Linked DNA regions of Caenorhabditis elegans. The protein of the gene in region 2 interacts with the protein of the main gene of each other region in a pairwise test. Each region holds a gene or a part of one and is shown on either strand. Other genes may lie near its edges. The genes, in order: F26F2.3, lec-3, ZK666.8 and hsp-43.

The links.
Region 1: the proteins of lec-3 (region 2) and F26F2.3 interact in a two-hybrid assay, tested with the Caenorhabditis elegans proteins (one large-scale study listed by BioGRID).
Region 3: the proteins of lec-3 (region 2) and ZK666.8 interact in a two-hybrid assay, tested with the Caenorhabditis elegans proteins (one large-scale study listed by BioGRID).
Region 4: the proteins of lec-3 (region 2) and hsp-43 interact in a two-hybrid assay, tested with the Caenorhabditis elegans proteins (one large-scale study listed by BioGRID).

Annotation. Positions count from the first base shown.
Region 1 is NC_003283.11:20,564,067-20,569,046, forward strand, and holds F26F2.3 (Transthyretin-like family protein), read right to left. Parts: upstream 2,489-4,980; 5' UTR 2,476-2,488; coding exon 2,056-2,475; intron 2,011-2,055; coding exon 1,750-2,010; intron 1,559-1,749; coding exon 1,499-1,558; intron 1,455-1,498; coding exon 1,344-1,454; 3' UTR 1,223-1,343; downstream 1-1,222. Other genes in the region: F26F2.13 (DUF305 domain-containing protein), read left to right, coding at 317-391, 439-600; F26F2.9 (Transcription termination factor Rho), read left to right, coding at 3,509-3,583, 3,677-3,850.
Region 2 is NC_003280.10:9,988,709-9,995,137, reverse strand, and holds the start of lec-3 (Galectin), read right to left. Parts: upstream 3,979-6,429; coding exon 3,899-3,978; intron 3,776-3,898; exon of another isoform or gene 3,770-3,775; coding exon 3,709-3,769; intron 2,882-3,708; exon of another isoform or gene 2,801-2,881; intron 2,684-2,800; exon of another isoform or gene 2,563-2,683; intron 1,519-2,562; exon of another isoform or gene 1,205-1,518; coding exon of another isoform or gene 1,172-1,204; intron 996-1,171; exon of another isoform or gene 863-995; coding exon 774-862; intron 720-773; coding exon 632-719; intron 153-631; coding exon of another isoform or gene 116-152; exon of another isoform or gene 1-115. UniProt on the Caenorhabditis elegans protein: Binds galactose.
Region 3 is NC_003280.10:10,490,710-10,496,192, reverse strand, and holds ZK666.8 (non-specific serine/threonine protein kinase), read left to right. Parts: upstream 1-3,058; 5' UTR 3,059-3,107; coding exon 3,108-3,131; intron 3,132-3,179; coding exon 3,180-3,657; intron 3,658-3,704; coding exon 3,705-3,889; intron 3,890-3,938; coding exon 3,939-4,202; intron 4,203-4,249; coding exon 4,250-4,474; 3' UTR 4,475-4,531; downstream 4,532-5,483. Other genes in the region: ZK666.14 (Transcriptional regulator), read right to left, coding at 620-1,074, 1,291-1,366.
Region 4 is NC_003284.9:6,231,189-6,237,472, forward strand, and holds hsp-43 (SHSP domain-containing protein), read right to left. Parts: upstream 4,356-6,284; 5' UTR 4,329-4,355; coding exon 4,203-4,328; intron 3,749-4,202; coding exon 3,674-3,748; intron 3,625-3,673; coding exon 3,038-3,624; intron 2,989-3,037; coding exon 2,882-2,988; intron 2,748-2,881; coding exon 2,673-2,747; intron 2,410-2,672; coding exon 2,320-2,409; intron 2,261-2,319; coding exon 2,139-2,260; 3' UTR 1,963-2,138; downstream 1-1,962. Other genes in the region: C14F11.4 (AIP3 domain-containing protein), read right to left, coding at 1-75, 140-429, 564-694, 739-831, 880-1,023, 1,068-1,172, 1,272-1,340, 1,387-1,509 and 1 more.

The DNA.
Region 1 (4,980 bases), on a different chromosome or scaffold from region 2:
ATGAAAATTCACTTTCAAGAGCACATTTCTTTCAAAACTTTTCCTTGACAGGACGAAATGATTATTAGCAATTTTTTTACTTTTATAAGGAATTGCTATGCCATTTTTTGTATAAAAAAGATTGCAGTCGAAGGAGCATCATATTCTATCTGATTTGCTTCTCATTTTTTATATTTTATTGTTTTTTTAATATTAAATATTTTAATCTAGATATGTGCTCTGAATTTTTTCGATGATGCCTTTCAATTTTTCTGGGGATTATTATATTTCTTAAAATGAGAAAACATTTTCAGAGGACTATTCCAAACCCAACACTATGAGTGACAACAATACACTGCGTATGGCGGAGATGCTGGATAAGCAAAACTCCCAGCAAAATGATTTCATGAAGGTCGAGTTTTTTAAATTGTTTTCTGTAAATCAACAGTTCTATTTTAGTTCATGATGGAGATGAACAACAGTGCAAGATTGTCCGACCAGGCAAGAGATGATCGAAACGCGATTCGAAGTGAGAATAATCTCAAAGAAGTCTACAACAAGTTGGTCGAAGCACAAAAGAAAGAGAGTCCCGTGGACATTTCCATTAAAATCAGAAGATGAAAATAAGCCGGGCAACTGTTTGCGGCTCTAAATCTATTTTTTTCGTTTTTTTTTAATCTATTGTAATACGGTCTATCTTAATTTCATAAAGTTAAACAAAAAACGCAATATGAGGGAGATTGTGAGTTTTTTAAACCGATTTTGCACTTAATACGGAAAAAAATTGCCCGTAAATGGCGGATAGTGAATAAAATCGGAAAGATATGTTTTGCAATGATTGAACAAAGAAGTATCGTTTGAAGGCATAAAAATTCAACGGTTTTCTATGAATGATGACTCCCATGAGGTCGCCGCATTTATCTGAATGGCGTGAAATGTAGGGCGGCGCGGAACCACAGATGTGTCGGCCGCACGGTGGTTCAGTCACGGTGGTTCAGTTGCTAGATGGGTGCAAACGCGCTCCACCGAATAAACGTGCATAACTTGGCCAGGAAGTACAAAATCGAAAATTCATCACAAATAAAGATAGGCATCGAAAAATCGATTTTGTGATGGTTTTCGAGATAGTAGCCAATATAGATTTCCAGACTGAGTATCATGAACCAATCCATCTAGTTTCTGTGCTACCGTGCAGTTGCTAGATATTGAACTCTAAGCAATCCATATCACAAAAAATATACTGTTAGAATTACTGCCTCTTTATTCTCATTTAAAAATCGTATTCTCTCATATGAAAACTACACAGAAAATAGATCAAAAAGAGGAAAAAAGTCCAGAAAAGGTTATTTATTGATTTATATTTACTAAAATCTTCCAATAAAAGTGTTCTTGATTTCTTCTTCTCTCATCCTCCTCTGTGCATCACTTTCCGCGTGTTGTGCCTCCAATGCCGCACGGTTATTTCTCATAGTTCTCTTAACAATTATTTCAATAATTATATCAATTTTATGAAACTCACTTCAATTTGATCGAATCCGTTTGTATAACGTGGTTCCCGATCCATAATGCATTCCCTTTCCTGGAAAGTTATATTTAAATGTCGTTCCAAAAATTGAAATGTTAAGATTGTTGATGAGATTGTTATTTGTTCAGAAAATAGAGAAACACGATTTGTCGAAAAAACTGAAACATCAGATTTAGGCTGATTTTTTTAAGGCTGACCTTGATGCTAACAGAATTTTATGAGGCTATTCTCGAATTGTTTCTTACCCTCCGCTGCTCATTTCGTTCATGGTGCCCACCACTATTTCTGCTATCAGCTTCATATTCTCTCCCATAAACATTTCTGATGCTTTGGTCGTTTTGTCTCCGCGTGTTTTCCCATCTTCTTTGCTCGGCTATTCTAGCTTCATCTTGCAGTCTTCGCTGAGACTCCTCAAAGCTCAATCGACGAGCTTCAATGTGTTGATTCGGCGTATTGAGTCCCACTATATCAGCTTCTCTGTAGTTGTGAGATTTACTCCTTCTCATCTGAAACGAATACCATTAAAATTACATTCTAACTATTACAAATACCTTGATTTGAACATTCTTAGCTTTGGCAGAGTATGGAATTTTCAGACATACTCCGGTAGGGTAAGGATAGTATGATGGTATTGTGAACGAATAACGCTGGTCATCTGTATGTGCTCTTCCTGAGCTTCTGGTTTGGTCAGAATGTCTGCTTGTTTCAACATTACGAAGGTAGATGCCCTGTCCATTGTTGCCAGTTACTTTTAGACGTAATCCGAGGTCACGATAAGGAATGTCGGGGGTTATTGTGAGTTTATGAAAAGGTACACGCTGACCATCCAACTTTGCGCTGCCTCTTCTTACTTGCACCTGAATATCCGTTCCTTCTTGATGCTGGTAAAAATGACTGACACTTCCATCTCTTTGCTGCACATTGGACAATCTTATGCGATCCGTCCCTCTTGAATCATGGTTTTGCTCCATTGTTATCTAAAACAGCGTTGATAGGAACAGGGGTGACTGCTGAACGACAAGTTTGGCGATTGGTAAAATTGGAAAATATTGGCGAGCGGCAAAGTTTGTGAACACTGAAAACCAGCACTTTCAAAAATTTTCAAACAAACTGAGGTTTTGCATTCTTTGTTTGAAAATTTAAAAACCTTGAAAAAGAAAATGTGAAAAAATCTTGCAATTTATAATTAAGTTTTGAAAATCGTTAGCCAGTAAGAAAATTAAACGTTCCTGATCACCGACATTCTATTAATACTGATAAGAAAATTCCTCATAAACTGGAGTATTGCTCCAAATTATTGGAAGATAACACAGGTTCTTATACGGGCTAGGAACAGGACGGAAAGTATTTTCCAATAAAATTATAAAAATAGAAAAAGAAAACTGAGGAATATGAAAATTAACTTTCAAGAGAACTTTTATTTGTTAAATACTTTTGGCCGGAGAAAAATTCAAAAAAATAAATGAAAGTAAGACAACTGAACATTCGTGGTCTCCGCTCTTCAATTTATACTAAACTGATAAGAGCATTCCTTATAAATAAAAATATTGCTCCACATTATTGAAAGATAACACAATTCCTCATACGGAAGAAAGTGCATTTCAATAAAATTATAGAACTAAGAAACATAACCTGTCAAAAAACTAACCGCGAAGCGTCATGAAATCTGAGGAACATGAAAATTAACTTTCAAGAGCACATTTCTTTCAAAACTTTTCCTTGACAGGAGGAATTAATTGTTAGCAATATTTTGATTATTCATGAGGAATTGATGTGTCCTCTCAGTATAAAAGAAGCTTGCACTCAAGGGAGCATTATATTCTCTTTATTTTTTACCCCATTTGTATCATTAATTTTCCTGCAACATGTTCTAGTAAAACACTAAAACTTTATATTTAAATGATGGTTACTAAAAATTGTGTTTTTTTAAACAATTAAACGGAATTTTGTTATATTCATTTCAATGTAAAGCATAATTCAGAAAACAATTCCAACACCCAAACAATGAGCGACAACAATACACTGCGGATGGCGGAAATGCTGGATAAGCAAAATTCCCGGCAACATGATTTCATGAAGGTTTTTAAATTTATTTTTTCTATTAATTAATAATGTTTAATACTTTACCTAATAATCAATAATTAATAATTTACCACAAGTATTATATTTCAGCGAATGATGGAGATGAACTACAATGCAAGATTGTCCGACCAGGCAAGAGATGATCGAAACGCGATTCGAAGTGAAAATAATCTCAAAGAAGTCAATGCTGGTTATCATATTTTTATTTTCAATTGTAATAATTGTTCATTCAATGTTGTTCATACTTCAAATAGGAAAAAATAATAAATCAATTATTATTATTATTATGATTATTATTATTACGTCTTTGACAATTCGGCCGAAGCACAAAGGGAGGAGAGTCCCGTAGACATTTCCATTAAAATCAGAAGAAGAAAACAAGGGAGACAATTGTTTTGGGTGTTCTTTATCTATTGCAATTTTAAATCTCATCTATTACATTTTTGTTTTAATCAAGTTTTCTTAAAGTTAGCTATATTAGCTATATACTACCTATATCTATCTCGTTATTTTTAAAATAAACACAGTTTTGGCGTGTTTTTTAATCTTGTGTAACACGGCCTCTCTCAATTAAAAAAAAATTACATTTAAAAAAGTAATAATCTGTCTCTGCGTCTCTCATGAGCGAGAGAGTGAGTTTTTAAACTGGTTTTGCACTGAATACTGAACAATTGTCTGTAAATGGCGGATAATAAAACAAATCAAATGTTTTACTCTGATTGAACAAACAAATAGCGTTTAAATGGCATGCATAAAAAGCAAATTTGACGGTTTCCTATGAAACCTTTGAATACGTAAATTTGGGAGATATCGAAATTAGTGATTTTTTTAAAGTATAATATGGTGCAAGAAAGGTTTGCCACGTTCAAAAATAAAATCAAAATTATACAATAAACGTCTTCAGTGTGTTTTTAAACAGCAATCAAGCCCAGCCTAATGTAAGCATAATGTGCTACTTGTACCAATATATTGTGGTCAACAAAATATTTGCCGTCAGTTTGAAAAATCATATCAAGTTCTCATAACTCCCATCATATTGAGGCATGAATTCATGTTAATCTCTGTTTCCTTATGTCCTTAAATAAATTTACATCTCTTTGAACTCCAAACAATTCATATCACAGCAAAATACACAGTTAGCATTACCGACATTCTATTAATACTGAACTGATAAGATAATTCCTATAAACTGAAATATTTCTCCAAGTTATTGAAAGATAACACAATTCCTCATACGGAAGAAAGTGCATTTCAATAAAAATTATAGAACTAAGAAACATAACCTGTCAAAAAACTAACCGCGAGGCGTCATGAAATCTGAGGAATATGAAAATTCACTTTCAAGAGCACATTTCTTTCAAAACTTTTCCTTGACAGGACGAAATGATTATTAG
Region 2 (6,429 bases):
CTATACATTTAAAAAAACAAGTTCGGTGGAAATGATGCATGCACAAAAAATACACATATATTCTAGGGTGTATCAGAAAGGGGGAGTTGTGAACATTCAAAACCTACACTTGATCTCAGCGTTTTTTCTCGCTGCCACTTTTCGAATATGATCTGGAAACGGAGTGAGTGTGTGTGTGTGTGTGTGGGATCACCTGACACAGATTCACTGTCTATTTGAGTGAGTGAAGGGCAAGGCAATGAGCACGGATCAATCATTTTCTCGGCTCACCACCATCATCCCTCACACATGCCGAAAGGGTAAACATCATCAAAAAGAAATCAAGAAAAAGAAGCTTGAAGGAAGTAAGAAGAAACGGGAAAATGTGAAGCCAAAAGCAAGCCAATTTCCTGATGTCTGAAAGCTAGAGCTTCTGGGTCCCATTGGGCTCCCTCTATTCATGTCACCCCGGTTAAACCCATTATGTGGATGGAGAAGATGGAAAGAAGCGCCAATTTTTTATAGCTCATACGCTTGATCGAGCCTTATGTATATCTCGGGCGGAAACTTTGTTTTTTCTGTGTGTTTATGTATGTGTTTTAATGGTTTTAGTTCCTATAATAGTCAGAAGCTCGAACATCAAATGACCTACCTTTCCCTCGTCGAAACGGATGGAAAGATGAAGAGGCACGTCGTTGCCGGAGAAATCTGGAGAATCCTTGTGGAGATTAATGTTGAACCTGCAAGTTTCTTCGGGTTAGAATTCGAATGAATATTGTCAAAATCTCGATTACCTCTTGGACTCATCGATAGTCTTTCCACGAATGATCAGAGTTTGTCCGGGCTCGATGCGCTCGGTGAGCTTGGAACGGTATGGGATGTTCTGAAATAATACGAAATATTAACTTGAGTTGTTGGAATTTGTTTTTGAGCTATTCCCGAAATTCTCGGTTTCACAAAAAACATCGGGAGCCACTCAAAAACTTGATGGTTAGATTGGACATCACTGGTTGAAATTTAAACTGAAAAACTGAAAAAAAGAGAAACTGAAACTGACTGAACTGACACAAAACTGGACAAACTAGAACTAAAGTTCACTGCAAGAAAAAGCACTGCACAGAATTTCAGATTTTCACGGTCCTACAAGAAGACGATGAAAATCTGCACCCAGAACCCCCAATAAAAGTCCTACGATATATTTGGCACAGTGCCAAACCGACGGCATATCATCTCCAATCGTTTCGTAGCAAGTTCCCAGTGGGTAGCACGATGAGGTGCTCGTCGAGCAAGAGCTGGATGTCGAGCAACTCGGCAGACACGGCGGCTGCTCTTTTTGGTTCTTTTTCTGATATTGCTGAAGCCACGTTTTGGGACTCAGTTGACCATGGTCACCAAGTCCCAAATTAAGATTCTTGATCGACAACAGTTTGGCGGATTAGACGAAGGGAGCTTCGGGTAGAAGATAGAACAAGTGGGGGTGACAAAGTGAAGCAGCAACTAGGCTTCAAGAGTAGATGCTGGGGCGGGCGGTGGCTCAACGAAGGGAAGGGAGCCACCAAAATGTGGGCGTGGCCTATTTCTCAAGGGGAAGAGGCTACTATTGTTTTGACACTTGGCCACTTGCCAGCTGGATTGAAGTTGGAAAACGAAAGAAAAATACACATAAAGTGTGATGTGACTTTTTGTTGAAAAAAACGTTTTTTGGAAAGTTGAGTTGAGAGTAAAGTTCTCATGTCAACTTTCATGAATCTTGGCAGAATACAGCTATACGTCACTATTTGTGGCGCAAAGTTCAAAAGTTTAAATCAGCTACCAACTAGGTTCAAAATGTTCATGGCGTTAGAGCAAGATAGAAGAAAGTTATGTAAGTTGTTCATAAATTATATTATCCAGTTGTGTAACAATCCGATTTTTTGAGGCAAAATAACGGTAAATGGTCTCGACGCGATCGAAAAATTTTCACTTGCGCATTTAAAGAGTTCGTTCCGCAATTTTTATCGACTTTGCTCTTAAAATTTGGCAGTTAAGGAGAAAATAGCATTAAGAACAGGAAGCCGAAACTATTAAACTTTTAATGACGCATATTCCATTGCTCAGAAAATTTTCAGTCGTGTCGAGGCGTAATTTTTGACCAAAAATGAAATTGTTTCGCAACTTGGTAATAGGCAGTTGCTAACAATCATGGGGTTCGTTTGTGATTATTAATAATAGTTCAAAAACTGTTTCCAGATTTCCAAATGCCCGCTGCAAAAACCTAGTTCATGCTCATGGGCTAATAAATATAAAATTATTCAATTCCAACAAATTCTCACTTTTTCTTGTTGCCAATAGAGCGCAGATTCTGCCACCCACAATGAAAAACTGACACTAATCTTGAAATAGGAGAAAATAAACAAAAAGAAGAGGGGGAAATCCTCCTTGTCTTTTCTTTTCCTGCTCAATTTTTCTCTGCCTGATATTGGATTACACCCGGAATTTCCGTTTCGCATCTGATTTTGACTTTGTTGCAACAAGTTGCACACACACACACCGGATTAAAGCCTAAAGTTTCCCGGAGCACAGAGCATAAAACAATTTGTCTACGTCAAATAAATTTTTGGAGAAAAAGAAAAATGAGCATGAATCAAAGGGTAAACTAACAAAAGGGGGAGTGAGAAATCTAAGCGAGTAAGAGAGCAAAAGGACATAAAATGTTTATGGAAATAAGGGGAGGCGGATGTGTATGTCTATCTGTGTCAGTTTTGGCTTCAGTTAAAAAAAGAAAAGTTGAAGCAAAAATATTTGAATTAATTTGAATTTCCACCGACTCAATTGTACTTTTTCTGCAAAAGAGGGGGAAGATTGTGCTAACGGTTCGTGCACATAAAGGCTTTTAGATTTATGACGTGGTTCCTATGAGCCCCGGGTCACATAACCTAACAAGAGGAGGATAAGCTCCTATGGGAGCTCGGCTCGAACTAAAAATAGCAACTTGAACTGGGAAGTGGATATTTTGAGAAAAAAAAGTTTAAAATGAAGTGAAGATTTGTTTGAAAGTGGAGAATATTAGAATGTATGGAGGGTGTAAACATCGCATAGCATGTTTTTTTTTCCAATTACAGTTCATATTCTATTTGCAGCTTTTTGTTCTACTTTGACAGCGAAATAAGTATTCCAGCACAAAACAAACTTTGAAGCTCATATATCTCCCTAAAAATATCACTGAAATTTTTATAATTTCACAATCAGACAAAAAAAAACATGTTTTCAATTTACAATGTGTTCTTTGTAACTTCTTTACAATTCATAAGCTAGCTGAAATTTCTTCTTATTACTCCCATTCTTTCTATTTACATAATTTCCAGAAATGCTTCAAGCGTACATTTTCAGACCAAGCTTTCTCCACTTATGAAAATTCAATCTTTGATGTCCTTTTTACCACCACCCCCACACTAAATTACAATTGTCTCTTGTTCGAGCACATAAAAAGCTCCATCGTGCTTCTTCAAGATTCAAACCTCAATTTTATGGTTCACCAAGTCGGCTATTTGTGTTAATAAGGGGGTGGCATTTCCGAGAAGACTGTAATGGGGTAGAACAGAACAACACGCAATGTTTTTTGTGTTAGAATTTCCAAATTAGGAGGAAACTGTCATTTTTGAAACTCAAAAATGAAACAAAAAACAGAATCACATGCACACAAAAAAAACAAAAACCGGAAAGATTGCATGATCGAAAAAAAAAACTTACGAAGGATTTCGGCTCGGCCATGATGATCTCTCGAAGATAAACGGGGAGTCGAACGGTGGTCCTGAAAAAATTGGGAATTGAAATATTTTATGATATTTTTCATAGCTGTTAAGGAAAGTGAGAAGTTGTACAGAAGTTGGAAAATTACATAATTATTTGCTCTAAAAAATTTTCGTTTGTACCAACATACCCATGACCTCTCTTTTTCTTTACAGTACCATTAGTAGTAGGTTCTGTAACTGCTAGACTTTTCGATCTTCGTCGAAACATTTTTATAGGAGAGAATAGTTCAAATTTGGCGATGTTCTCCCCTATGTGAGATGTACAATATTTGTGTTGGTTTTGAAGAAGAGGTTATGGCTACGCTGGTATCAAAACTATATTTGAACATCATAAACGTTTTCGAAAGAGTTTCGAGAACTAAAAGGAAGATTAAACAATCCGAGGTTTTGTGTGAAGAAAAATAGTATATATTTGATTGAATTGTTACAGAGAATGGAAGGAAGAAAGAATGTGATAGATTGTAGAAAAAGAATAGGCGGGAAATAAAAGTGTGAGTCATGGAATTATGGGAATGAATTCCCGTGGATCGTTTTGGATGCAGGGAAAATTATAAATGATTTGATTTGGTTGGTTGCGAGAAATGTTATAAAATTATACCAGTTGTTGGAATCTGAATTTTTCATGCAAAAAATGATTTTGGAAGTTGTCAATTTGTCAGAAAGCGGCTGAACCGTAGCTCGAACTATTTTCGATTAGTTTTAAGGTTTTAAAACAGGGATAAAGTGTTATCAAGACTATTACTTCTGAGAATCTGTATGACTTGGAGTTTTACGAGAAATCCTTATTGGGAAAATTTGACAAAGTGGGCATAAAGATTGAGCTTCTAAATTAATCAAGTGAAACAAACTACAAAAAAAAACAAAAATATATAAAATTGAACAACCAAAACTCACATAATTCCAACTAAATTCAAGTTAACACCGACAAGAGTCGAAATATCAGAAACAACACAAGAAATAAAAATCAATCAAAACTGATAAATTGTGAGGTTAACAGGTGGCGAGGGGTTTTTCCCACTGCTGCTGATCTTTTTTATTTACTTCCCGCACGTTTCATTTTTTTGAACTCAGAGACAAAAATTATTGGGTGTGGAAAATGAGATACGCAGGAGGGATAAGGAGAGAGTTGGACAAATAATTATATGTCATTAGATTTTGAAATTAATTTGGATTTCGAAAGTGATTTGGAAAACCTACGTTTTTTTTAGGCAGAGTTAGTATGCTCACGCTAGTAGAAGTGCTTGCTGGAACCATGGTTTACAGTTTAAAAGAAGTGAAAAAATTTCAAAAAGTTTTTACTTTAAACAAAAACGCAATCATCCAGATTGCCGCAAAAAATACAATGTACAGCTTTTTTTACACAAACAATTTTTTCAGAAAAATCCAGATGCAAATTTGCAAGAGAACTGTAAAAACTGCACATTTCAGTCACTATTTATACCAACTGTATACATATAGTTGGTGAGAAGAAAAGAGAAAGACAAAAAATATATATACAACATAATGTATCTTCTCACTTTTTTTGCAATTTCTTTCCTAGCTACTACTCCACCTCTTCCTCCTACTCTTCTATCCTTGCTCTCCGATCACTCATTTGCCTCTTTTTCATGCTTTTCTTTTCCATCACTCAAAAATTTCAAAAAAAAAAACGTTAACGAAGAACATATGACTCAATTGAGGTCTTGGATAGTGAGTGAGAAAAGATATCCGATATGTTGCAGTTGTCGTTTTTTTTTTTCTTTTAGGTTTTAATTTCTAAAGGAAAAAACTCTTACGTTTTTCACATTTTTCGATGTTTCTGAATTTTAAAAACTAGAGTGTGATAGTAGAATTTCAGCGGGAAGGTTGAAAATGAACAATAGAAAAGAAAAATAATTGAATGTGATTAACAGAAAAAGAAAGAAAAATACATAAAAACCAAGTATAAGCATTTTGAGACAATGACTCACTACAACTTATTTATTATTTTCTATTCCAATATTTTGAAATTTAGTAGATTTTTTTTTCCGAATTTTAAAATAAACAACAATCAGGGATCGACTTTTGCTATTTGGCCTCGAAAAAAACTCGGTCATCGATTTATATTTGATATTTTATTCTTAAACTTGAAGATCTTTCAAAATTTTAAAAATTTTGGCCGAGCCGATTCAAGGAAGGAGTCTATCTAATTGGCATTTTGCCAAATTTGAAAAAAAAAACGGTGAAAATTTCCAACGGTTTCAATTCAGTAAAATCTAGAAATTTGGAACTGAATCTAAAAAATTCAAAATCCTGTTTCTGGAAATTGAGGTGACGTTGAGAAGTTAAAATTACTAAAAAATTCGCACAGTCGTAAAATGACAAAGAAAACGGAACACACTCAACATGTTCAGTGTCATCGGTTTCTTGAAAAAAGCCTAGCAGTATAAGTGTCACTTTTGCCAACTATTTCCAACATTTCAAAAAGCAGAAGAAGCAGAAAAGCTCATAAAATTCCGACGAAAACTCGCTTCAGAACGACAAAATAGGCCCCCCATGTTTCACATAAATATTTTCAGGGCGTTTCGTGCCTGAAAACCGGTTTTTTCGATTTTTCGGGGCCGGTGGCATTGGTGGTCGCCGACGTAACTATTTTATCAGTTTTTGTGTAAAGGGGTACTTAGATTGTAGGTACTTATAT
Region 3 (5,483 bases), 500 kb from region 2:
CTATGAAATTAACAGAAAAATTTGTGAGTTTGAAAAAATTAAAGAAACAAATTATCACGAGGAAATAAAAACGGATTTCGGATTTTTCTGAAATCGATTTCATTTTATCGATAATGTCAAGCAGAAAATTATTTTACAAATTCTTGAAAAAGTGACAAATAAACTTAAAAACTTAAACACAAAACTTCAATGACAAAAACAAACAATATTTTCAGACATTTGGGCGTTAACAGGGTGTAAAAAATTTTAATGATAAATTACTTGTTTTGTTTCAGAAAGAAAAGTTGAGAGGGTCTTCGTTACTATTTTAATTTGATTGATTTTGTTGTTAAAGTACAATACACTTCGTTTCAAAACAATCTTCGTTTGACTGAAAATTCAAAGATCAAAACTTTATAGTTTTCGTCGGGAATTAAATTAATTAGTTAAAATTGAGTGAAAGATTTACTTCCGCTTTTGATTGTTCGTGTTCTAAAATATTTTATTTTATCCCCTAACATCACATAAATTTATACCTTATTCAAAACATTACTCAATTTTATTGGTAATAATTTCACAAATAAATGAATAAATAAATAAATTGCCAACTTATAAAATAATCAATTAAAAATAATTATGCTTATTGGATGTCCAGTTGTCCATTAATCAATGCATTATGTGAAACCAAGAGCCAGCGGTAGAATCTTCTCACCAAAAACGCTTTATACAATCCAGCAATAGATATTCCAAAAAAGAGATATGCAATATAGAGAGGCGTTGTATTGGGATATATTGATTGTGCAATAAGATTTGCTCCTGAGAAGAGTAGACAAGTTGACCATAATACTATTTCAACGTGTCTTAACCAAATGAGCATGTTTTCCACATGATAACGAATAGCCAAGCATGAAAGCGTTTGGAAGATATGAAAAACAATGGCTAATTCGATACAATATTGCGGGAAGTCAATCAACGCAACAAAAGATGCTCCGATTATCATCAGAGTCAGTATGAGGCACAAGTTTTCGGTGGAGATTTTGTTGAAAAATACGGCTGGTTGTTCTTTGTCCTTGAAGAGTCGAACATGTTGAGACACTGAAATTTATTAAATAAGTATTTAGATATAAGAGAAGGTCTATGTAGTTTTGCATAGCTTAATTCATCTTCCAAGAGAGAAACAAAAATTTTGAATTCACACACAGGAACATCAGAAATCTCACAGATCGCGAAAATGTATTTTGTTCGTGAGAGATCTTTTTTTTTCTTTGTTCTAGAGCACAGTATCACAACTGCCAAAAAAAAAACACTCACCGCTCTGGATTGAATCCCTTCGGTCCTCCACATGTTCCACAAAAGTGAGAACGGTACAGTCGCTAATCGTAGCCATTTTGCCTCCGATCGATTTCTGAGAGTCCACGTTGTGAACGGAGATTTTTTGGTTTGAACGAGAGAAATACAGAGACTGTTAAACGATATGCATGAAAAATAATAAAATGCATAACAATGGGAATACATTAAAAAAGATGTGACATGAAACGAGGCAAATCGAATTTCAAGCTACCATATTCAGAACTGCACACGGAATAAGATATTAGAACCAAGAAAGGAGAGAAGCTCACTACTTTCCAAAAGATGCATGCTAAATATGGAAAATCAGTTTAAAAAAAAAGAAACAGAATGATTGCCGTGGGCAAAGCAAAACATATCTGAAACTTGGCTGTACTTTTGAAATTTTTTGGAGTTTCTCGATTTGTTGTTGAAATTTTGAGAGCATTGAAAACAGTAGTTTTTGCAATCAGTTTACACGAACAGAAAAAAAGAAAATAAGTAATTTTCTTGTTAAAATTCGAATACTATTGATTTATTGAATGTTTTCAAACAGTCAAACAAAACCTGATCCCTTTTTGGGAATTGCCGATAGAGAATAACATGATATATTGCCTGTGATAGGCGATCAAAAAGTTGTTTCACTGGTGTGAATATATTAAATCTTAATGTGACTTTATTTACCTAATAGTTTAGTATTTAAAATTTTCATGAAAGCCTAAAAAAAACGGGAAAAGTTTTACGGCACTGTAAACTGCAAATTGCAACTTTCAAAAGTTTTTTCGAAGTTTTCAACAAATTAAATGATATTTTCTAATCGAACATGAATTTCTGTACCAAATTTTTAAATTAAAAAATTGGGTTATTATGTTAAAATCTCCAAGTTAACGTTTCAACCTCATATAAACAGAGCCACTTCTCTTGCCCTCTTACGCGCTAAACAAATCCTCAAATGTTTCTCCTCTTCTTCCCCTAAATTCTATATAAATATGTACAAGACCTACGTTTCCCCTATCCTTGAATACGGATCAGTCATATACTCCCCTCCACCAACATCTAAATTATCAAGCACACTAGAATCTCCCCTCAAATACTTTTCTAAACGGGTCCTACAGCGCTGCAATATTAAATACAAAATAAAAAATGCTCCACAAACACACAATGCTTTCTCCAAATCCTACGAAAACCGACTAAAAATTCTAGGAATTTCATCAGCCCGCTCTCTCCGCCTAAGAGCCCAACTATTGCTTCTATACAAAATTCTTACCGGCGCAGCGCACTTCCCAAAAAGCAGTGACTTTGTTACGCTTGCTAACTCGTCTCGTCGTCCGATGCTCATTAAAAATAAAAAATCCCAAATGTCGTAGCTTTTTCTCCCAAGTAGTGCCAATATGGAATAGCATTGTACGCAACTCTAGCTTTTTCCTCTCCCCATCACAATTCCTTTCGCTTGTTGATTGTCAAATATCTAAATTCTGATCTCTTTCCCTCTCACTTAAACTCGCGCTCTGTTGGGCCGAGTTTATTTTAATTTATTCATCTACACGTGTAAATATCATAACCGGTTATGTTTTTCTTATCATATTCTTTTTGTTTCCATGATGAATAAATAAATAAATAAATAAGCAATAATTTTTCCACTGGCCTTCACATTTAGAAAATTAATGTGACCGTGAACTCTCAGAATTTTCTTTCAAAGTTAGTAAAAGTACGTGGGAATCATCGGAATAAATACTGTAGACAAAAATATTTTAGTCATTTCTACATTGTAATCAAAGTCAAAGTCGTGAGCATTCATATAAATGATGAATCCGAAACATGTTGAGGTTTGTTCGCTTATTTTTTCAGTCTCAGACTAAAGATTGTTTTTGAAGGGAGCTGAAAAATCGGCCAAGTCCGCAGTGGCTACTGAGTTTTCGGCAAAAATGAGTAAAGAGGAGTCGACAAAGGAGTCTTCGGTATCCAAGCGAACAGTTCGTAAAGATCAGATAGTAAAACCAAACAATGAAAAAAGTGCGAGAAGTCTTAAATCTCCAACAAAACAGTTCAGTGTGGTGCCACGTTTGAAACGCCCAGACCCCACTTCTACTCCTTTGATGCCTATCGATGAGAAATTCAGAAAACGATGGCACATTGAAGGAATCATCGGTAAAGGTGGTTATGGCGAAATTTATTTGGCAATCGACATGAAATTGGCAGAAGAAGTGGCAATAAAGGCAGAACCATTGGTACGAAAAGGCAAAATTGCCAGGCGAATGATTTTGGAACAAGCAGTTCTCGTAAAACTCCAAGGGAAGCCTCATGTTCCTTGGATTTTTGGATCCGGTCACACAGAAAACTTCAATTTCATTGGTAAGTTTAGTCTAAAAACAAATTTAAAAAACATTACCTCGTTTCAGTGCTTCAACTGCTAAGTGCCAATCTTGGAGATATTCGTCGAATGAGTCCCACACGTAAATTGAGCAAGTCATCAGTTGGAAGAATCGCCGTTCAGGCCATTGCTGCTCTGCGAGATCTACACGACGTCGGGTATCTCCATAGAGATATTAAGCCAGGAAATATGTGTTTTGGTATCACTTCCAAAGTTGGTCTTGCAATAAATTTTCACAATAGATTCCATTATCTCGTTCCAGACACGTCATGTTTTGATGCTTCTCGACTTTGGTCTGGTACGTAGATACAAAGATCCAGATGGTGAATGGCGAACTCATCGGGTTAAAGCTGGTTTCCGAGGCACTCAAAGATATGTATCTACTCGTGTTCATCGTCGGCTCGAACAGACACCGACAGACGACATGGTGTCCTTGTTGTACACATTGATTGAGTTGCTGGCTGGAGAGCTTCCGTGGAGAAATATTGAAAACAGTGATGCCATCTGGAAAATGAAAGATGAATTGGTATGAAGCTATGTTTGGATCTTAATAATACTTTTTGTGGTTTGCAGCATCATGGCCAAATTGATCACTTCCATGAATCGTCTCAAGAGCTGATTGAATTTTCTCAACTCGTATCACGTCTCGACCCAATGTCTGAACTTCCGTATACTACTCTTCAAGCATCCGTCAAAAAGTTGTACCTTCCGAAAAAGTTGTCAGATCCGTATGATTGGGAAGAAAACTTCAAAGACGCCTTGTTGGAGAAGCCACGTTCTACTGAAGACAGCTCCTAGTACTTATTTTTCTTGTATTTCCATATGAGTTTACAATAAAAATTATTTTAGAATATGATTTTCATTGAATGATTTTGGGCAAATTCAAAGATCCGCTGTTTAACACTTTAAAAATTCAGTGTTGAGTATTCCGATTCTCAATCAAATTTTCATGTTTGGTGACCTCTTTTTAAAGAAAAGTTATAAACATTTGTGCGGGAAAATATGAATTTTTGTAGTGATTAGAAAGAAATAAAGAACTACTTAAAATGACACATTGTTTTTTTTATCTGCTAGACATTTTTCAAAATATTCGTTAGGTTTCCTTTTTTTTCTTTTTTTTTCACCTACTTTAGTCGAAAGGCCAAATTAAAACAAAAAATAATGAAAAATTGAGCAACAAGACAAATTAAATTTGAACTTTAAAAATCAAATAAACTTTCAGAAGCATGTCTGGAGCATGCCTGGTAACATAATAAGAATACAAATATTTTACTTCAGTTGCAAAAAATCAACATATTGACTGGTATTAATCCCTTTTTTTGCAAACCAGAAGTTTACCCATATTTTGTGTTTGTTGATGTTTCGATCTTTTTCGCTTTGTTTGGAAAACCGTTCCGTATCAAACAAAAAAAATGCAACATCAGCAGTTTACGAATTATCTGAAATTGGTGCCAGTACGTGCTCACTTCCGATTTATTTATGGTTAGAATGTATCTAGGATGATCTTCGTAGTTGTCTTGCACTACAACTGACATTAGCTATTATAAAATTGTGTTCAAAAATTTAGTAGAACCTAAAAAGTTTGTCTAATAACAAAGAAAGCTATTGAATGAAAAATCGCGAAAAAAATTGCATCTGGGTAAAAATAGTGATGTGACAGTTGACAATTTTCTCCGATTTCTGAATTTTTCTAGGAAGTTTTAAGTCTGGGTAATAGTTCGGCAACCACCATTTTTCCTTTTTTAAATACCCATAAAGGAATGATGGTTGTAGTGCCAAATTTGCAAATTCTTCGAGTGTAAGCTTA
Region 4 (6,284 bases), on a different chromosome or scaffold from region 2:
GAGGAGCGATGTAACTGCCAGAAGATGATGTTTCGATGGCCAATTCGTCGAGCTTTTGAGAAGTGTGAATTTCATCTGGAAATGGTTTAAATAAATTATTCTAAACTCTTTAACTAAATTTAAAAAAATTCAAACTTACTCATAGTTTCAATACTTTTTGTTCTTTCCAAAACTTCTAACACCGGACTTCTTGGTGGCTTTGGTGAAGCATTTTTTGCGAGAGGCTTTCTTTTGGCACTGTCCAATGTTGTGATAGTTGCAGATGATGTGACCGTGCTTGCCGATTTGTGAGATGACGAACGCTCAGTTTTTGGGCGAGTCGATGCGTAGCTAGCTTCACTTGGGGTTTTCGGTGGTGGAGAACGACGAGTTGGCATGACAAGGTTGGCTTTCAAGTTTGAACTTTTTGACGATGAGCGGGAAACACTACTAAAAACATTTTGTGTCATGGTGGTGATCAGAGGTATGCGACATATGGATTTTGGAATTTAAATAAAATCAACTTTTTTATAGATAAGGAGTTACCTATATGTACATATAAATGCATATATTCAATCATTTACCTCATCTTTTCCGCAGCTGAACCGGGTCTTGAGCCAATAGCAGATGCCGGACGAGAGCTATGAGTCAGAAGCTGCATTAGATGGTCTACCTGGAGTTGAATGCCATGCTGGTTGCGAAGATATCCATCAAGCTGGAAACAAGTTTTATGGTTGGGTTCTATATGATTTGGCATACTTTATCTTCCAGGTGAATGTAATTTCCGTCACTCAGTTGCTTGATATTCCCAATTTTCTCTTCCATATCTCTTCTGGTCTCATTGATGACTTTCTGAAAAAAAGTTTTTTTTTGAAGATTTCCTTTTAACATCTTTCATACCAAAAGTTCATCGATGTCTTCTCCTGCAATGTTGCTCGAAACTAGCTTCACTCTTAAACCCTCTTGTATTTGGGCCAATTCGTGAACTTTATTTGTCAATAATGAAATTTCATTTTGGAGAGGCGCAACAAACTGAGTTTTACCCTAAAACATCTGGTATTCTGGTTTGTTTTCCAATGTATGTTTACAGTTAACTCAGCCTCCAATTTGTCGAGCCTATCGCAAATATCCTTGTATTGACGTGTTTGCTCCTGGCGTGCGACGTCAATGATTGGAGGCTCTTGGGAAGTTTTCTGAATGAAAAGTTTCAAAAAAAGAAGAAAGAAAGAATAAAAAGTAAGCATTTCGGACGGTTTAGTGCAAGAACAATACAACTGTGTTTGTGCACATACCTTGGTCGATGGGCTCCGAAGAATTTCAATAATACGATCCAACTTTTTGTTGATTTTTGAGAGTTGGTACTGAAACAAAAATGTTGAAACAAATTTTTTGCAGAGTAATGCTCACCTCAGCTTCCACGTCAGAGTGATAGTTGTGACTTACAACCAAATTTTGCGGACGTTCTGGTTTTGGAGCTCTTGGAGGATATGATGTAGGGTTTCTCACGATATTGTCGAAACGTTCATTATGCTACAAATAAAAATTGTTTCTGGTACTTTGAATAACTGGAGTTTTAGAATTTTCGTCAAAATTTAATTTTTGCAATCAATTATCAAAAAGTTATTATTCTAAATTGCATTTTAAATATATATATATATATATATATATATATATCTGAAAATTATCGTTGTTTTTAATTCGATTTTAATAATAACTTCTTTAGTTTTTAAGACTAAACTCACATCATCAATAAAACGCCGGTAGATGATTTCTTTTTTGGTGACCAGCGGTGGATAACGGGACATGATCGATAGAAAAGAAGCGTCGAATGGATTGTATTATCAAAGTGAGAAATGATTGTATTTTGTTGTTTTTTTTTGTGGCTCCATCATTTTTCTTTTCATCTTTTCTATATCATCATATTTTTCTCACCTCAAGTTCTAGATTTGAAACCAACAAAATCGTACTAAAAATTAGTAAACAAAAAGCATAAATGTTTATGTATAATAGTAGGTGTACATTTGAAAGTGGAAAAGCTGTGAATAGAGTATATGGAAGCATCAGAAAATATATTGTTTTGTTTTAAAAGCTGTAGGCAGAATTTTGTGAAGTTTTGAAGGAGAACGGGTATGAGTAAAAGCATAAGGTTTTTGGTCCAATTAATATGTCTTGCGGAGAATTTGAATTGATCGGTACTCGCGTTGAGTTGAGTTTGGTGAGTCCGAGTTTCCATTACGAAGAATTCCAGTTGTAGTGCTCACTGGTGACTCGACCCGGTATCCTGAAAAATTTTACCACTTCAGTTGATTGAAGAACCCTCAATGTATAGCGAAAACTCACCTCCATTGCGACTTTCTGAGCGATGAGACTGAGCGCGAGAGCTTGAACGCTCCTCGTGAAGATTTGCATTTCCAGCAGTATTATATGACCCTAAAATTCCAATTTTAAAACTTTCGAATTTTCAAAATCCAAGTTTTCAACAAATAATGTGTCATTAACGATCATTTTTGACCAAAGGCGCAACATGTTAATGTTGTAGTTAATTTGTGATTGATGAGAAAATCCAAAGTATTGTCAGTAAACTGTTGGAAGTTTACTCTAATTGTGATGAGGGAAGTGGGAAGTAATTCGTGTGAAATGTGTGTAAATTAACTAAAAAAGAGAAACGCGATGTGCGAAATTGCAAAAATGACCTCGCTCAAAATTGTTTCGAATGGTTTCGAACGCTTTTCGACCCGGCGACCGCTGTTCCGGTGTTACTGTCCGCTCTGAAGGTAATTATGGGATCTAGATAGAAAAGAGAAATAGAAAGAAAAATGAAATGTGGAAAGAGAACACGACAGAAAGCAGTGTTTTGGAAAGTTGGAAAATTTGAATTAACTATGTATTTTCAAAAACTTACCACTTGTTGTGATACGAGGAGTGACTGGGCTATATGTTCGGTTGTCATTTCTAGTGATGTTAACATCATTTGGGGAGAGACGATTGCGAGAGTCGCTGCGGTGGTAGCTGAAAATTTTTATTTTCAGATACTCACTATCATTATCTGTAGGATTACCTGTAAGAATGAGAAGAATACACGTCTCTCGATCCTGGACTATCATTCAATCGCGATCCACTTCTGCTAGACACGCTCCTCCCGTCGTGCTCAGTCTGGACATGAATTGGCGAGTTTGGTCCTCGTTGCGAACGGAGTGTTCCATTTTCAAATCTTGGTGAATGGTGCCCGGCTCCTTCGATTGGGATCATACGCTCGCGACCTTGCAATGCCATGTTGTTGAATTTTCCAGCCTCAACTTGAAGACGTCCTTTGGCATCAATACTACTTTGAATCGAGTTGAAGTCTACGTCTCTTGGAAGTTGGTACTTTCTGACAAAGTACATTTTGGTGAAGTTATCTTTATCACGAATATCCTCATGTCTTCCCTCAATCATCAGAGTATCATCAAGAGTTTTCACTTGAATTTCTTCAGGACGGAATTGATAGCAATCCATGTCAACGGCAAATCTACGATCATCATTAACCACATTGGAGTTTACGTCAATTCCCTCCTTGAAGATTGGCTCAGCCCATCTTGGGTAGAGATTCATCCAGTATGGATCACTCCTCCAGTTGCGATCCATGCGATCAAGTTGACTGGAAAACTGCAAAAAAGTTTCGATGTGTTTCTGTTCATGCGATTTGAATTATTACTCTTGGCATGACGGCGTCCATACGGGGCCAATCGGTTGGCCAATCCTTCCACCAACTGTCGACGTCACGGGAGAACTGAAATGCAAAAAAAAAAATGATTCACAAAATATTCTGATTCATCGATGGAGAAATTGGCTGCCGATTTCCTCTCTTTTCACTTTTTTTTCAAATGATAAAAAAAACAAAATGTTTGTTCAGATTGAAAAGGAGAGAGCATTCGAATTTGAGGAAAATTTAGGGGAAACTGGTGAAAACTGCCAAATTTCAGTTGGCATGGAACAAATAAACCAAGAAGGGGAAAGCAGTGAGATTTGACTCTCTTAATGGTGTATATGTACGTAAATTCGAGTAGGGCTGTCAAGTAGACCAACGACGACGACCGGATTTGAACAGTAAAACGCCTGGCAAAATATAATAGTAGCCAGAGTGAAGAGCGTGTAGAGGTAGGTCGCGGATGAATAGCCCCCTATGCCTATTTCTAACAATTGACTATCGGAAACTAATAAGCCGCCCCCAATGAATTGGATACCCGGTGGAAAAAGTCCCTTGGTTTTGGCCAATCAAGAGGCCAATCACGGAAATCGTCGAGCCACAGGTCGTTCTCTTTCCAGAGTTTGTCACGAGTGAAATCGGCATGACGGGTTGCAAGAGTCATTTTTTGAACTGGGGGTGTGGTACTTCTGTAAAATAATAATTGTTATTCCGGTTATGGGGAACGGCAGCAATGAAACGATGAAGTACAAAAACACACAGTTTAACATAAAACCTAATAACTATTAACCTTTGTTCCAAAACACAATGTCACACAATGTGCGCTATCATAGTTTTAATTTTTAATGGAAGTTAAGAATCGGTGAACAAAAAGTGAAAACCTCTAAAAGCCGGAACACAAATCTTGCAAGCTTTTATAAGTTCTGTCTTGCATGGAAAGGTTGGAGAGTTTTGGGCGTGGTTTTAACCGCTCTCACCTTCGTCTCGAATCTTCGCCGACCCCACCGACGACTTTTTTGGTAAATACCACGTGAACAGAGTTAGAATGCGAAAAGAGGGGCGCAATCAAAAGGAGGTCTGCCAATGTTGACTGTGTTTCTCTGTCAACACTGTTATTTTGGGGGCACCGGAGGTCGGAATGGAAATCATCAAAGACGGTTGGCAAAAAAGTTCACCGGAAGGGGTCACTTAAGTTTGAAAACGGAAAATTGAAAATTTCAGATAAAAACACTTTTTCTCAAAAAAATATGACAGCTGAGTCGTGTGCTCTGAATATTCGATTGACATTGGCGTTGTTATATACCCATTTTGAAAAGAGAAGGGCGTTGGCCGCCGGTCAAAGTTACCCTATTTCAGATGAGTCAGAACCAATTGACAGAGAGAGGCATAGGCAGTTCCATTTTGTCGCTCCCGCCTTTTCTTCACGTTGGACGATGATGATCAATGTGATATTTAATCAGTGGAGGAACGACGACAAGAAAAAAGGGATAGGGTGATCACATGGATTGGAATACGCCCTTTCTGGACTATTCCAACAGTTTTGCAATTATTTCGAAAATATTTCGAAACCGGCTTTTTATGAACCATTTTTGGTCTCATTTGTCTAATAGAACAACGCCTACAGAAGTTTTTTTGGAACGCTCTGAACAGTCATTCTATGTGTTGTCATAAACGATATTGAAATACATTACATTTTTTCGCATTAGAGGAATTTTTGAAACTGGTTGACTGCGTTTACTGCAAAAAAATTGGTTGAGATTGAATATCCATTCATAGTTTGTTCTGTGAGAAACGAAAATTGACTTTTTCCTATTTTTCAATCATTCTGCCTATAATTCTTTTTGAAGCACCATAAATCATTTCCGCACTGCACTCTAAAAAATTCTGAATAATTTTTCTGTCACTCAGCCCACGCTTGATTTTGGGAGAAAAAACGGGGAAAAAGCAATTTTAATCCATTCGACGCATTTTCCGTGGTTTTTGCTAAACCAATACTGTAATTGAAACCTAAATTTGTCCAAAACTGGGTGGTGACGGCGGTTGTGTGAGTTCAGTTTGCTTTTCAGAGTAGTGTTTGCCTGTGCGTGAGTAAAATACACAGTTATGAAGGAAATAGTAAGGGTGAAAAATTCAAATACTGTTGGTTATGACTAATTTTGGGTAAAAAATGGTTTGAGGTTTTTTCGCGGAAAGCTTAGGAATTTCATGATTTTAAAAATGATTTTGAGAATTGCTAGTTCCAACCAATTTTTAATTTCCACAAATTTAAATGTTATTAATAATTTATGCATAAAAACTTCAAAAAACGTGAACATGTATGTATATTGTATTTCTGATGAAACTTCTCACTCTAGATTGGAAAAAAACTTTTATACACCAGTATTAAAAAATTACTGATTTCCTTGTATTTCAGTATTTAAAAATTTAATAATATAGTTGTGCAAATATTAAATGTAGTTTTGTACGTAAATTTTTAAAATTTGAATTTTGTCTTTGTTTCAAATGTTTCAATACAAAGCTGCATTCATTATAATTTAATACCTACATTGGTAATTTTTTAAAATTAAATTTTAAATGAATGAAAGATGTCTACGCCAACTATTTTCAAAAAGTGTATTCA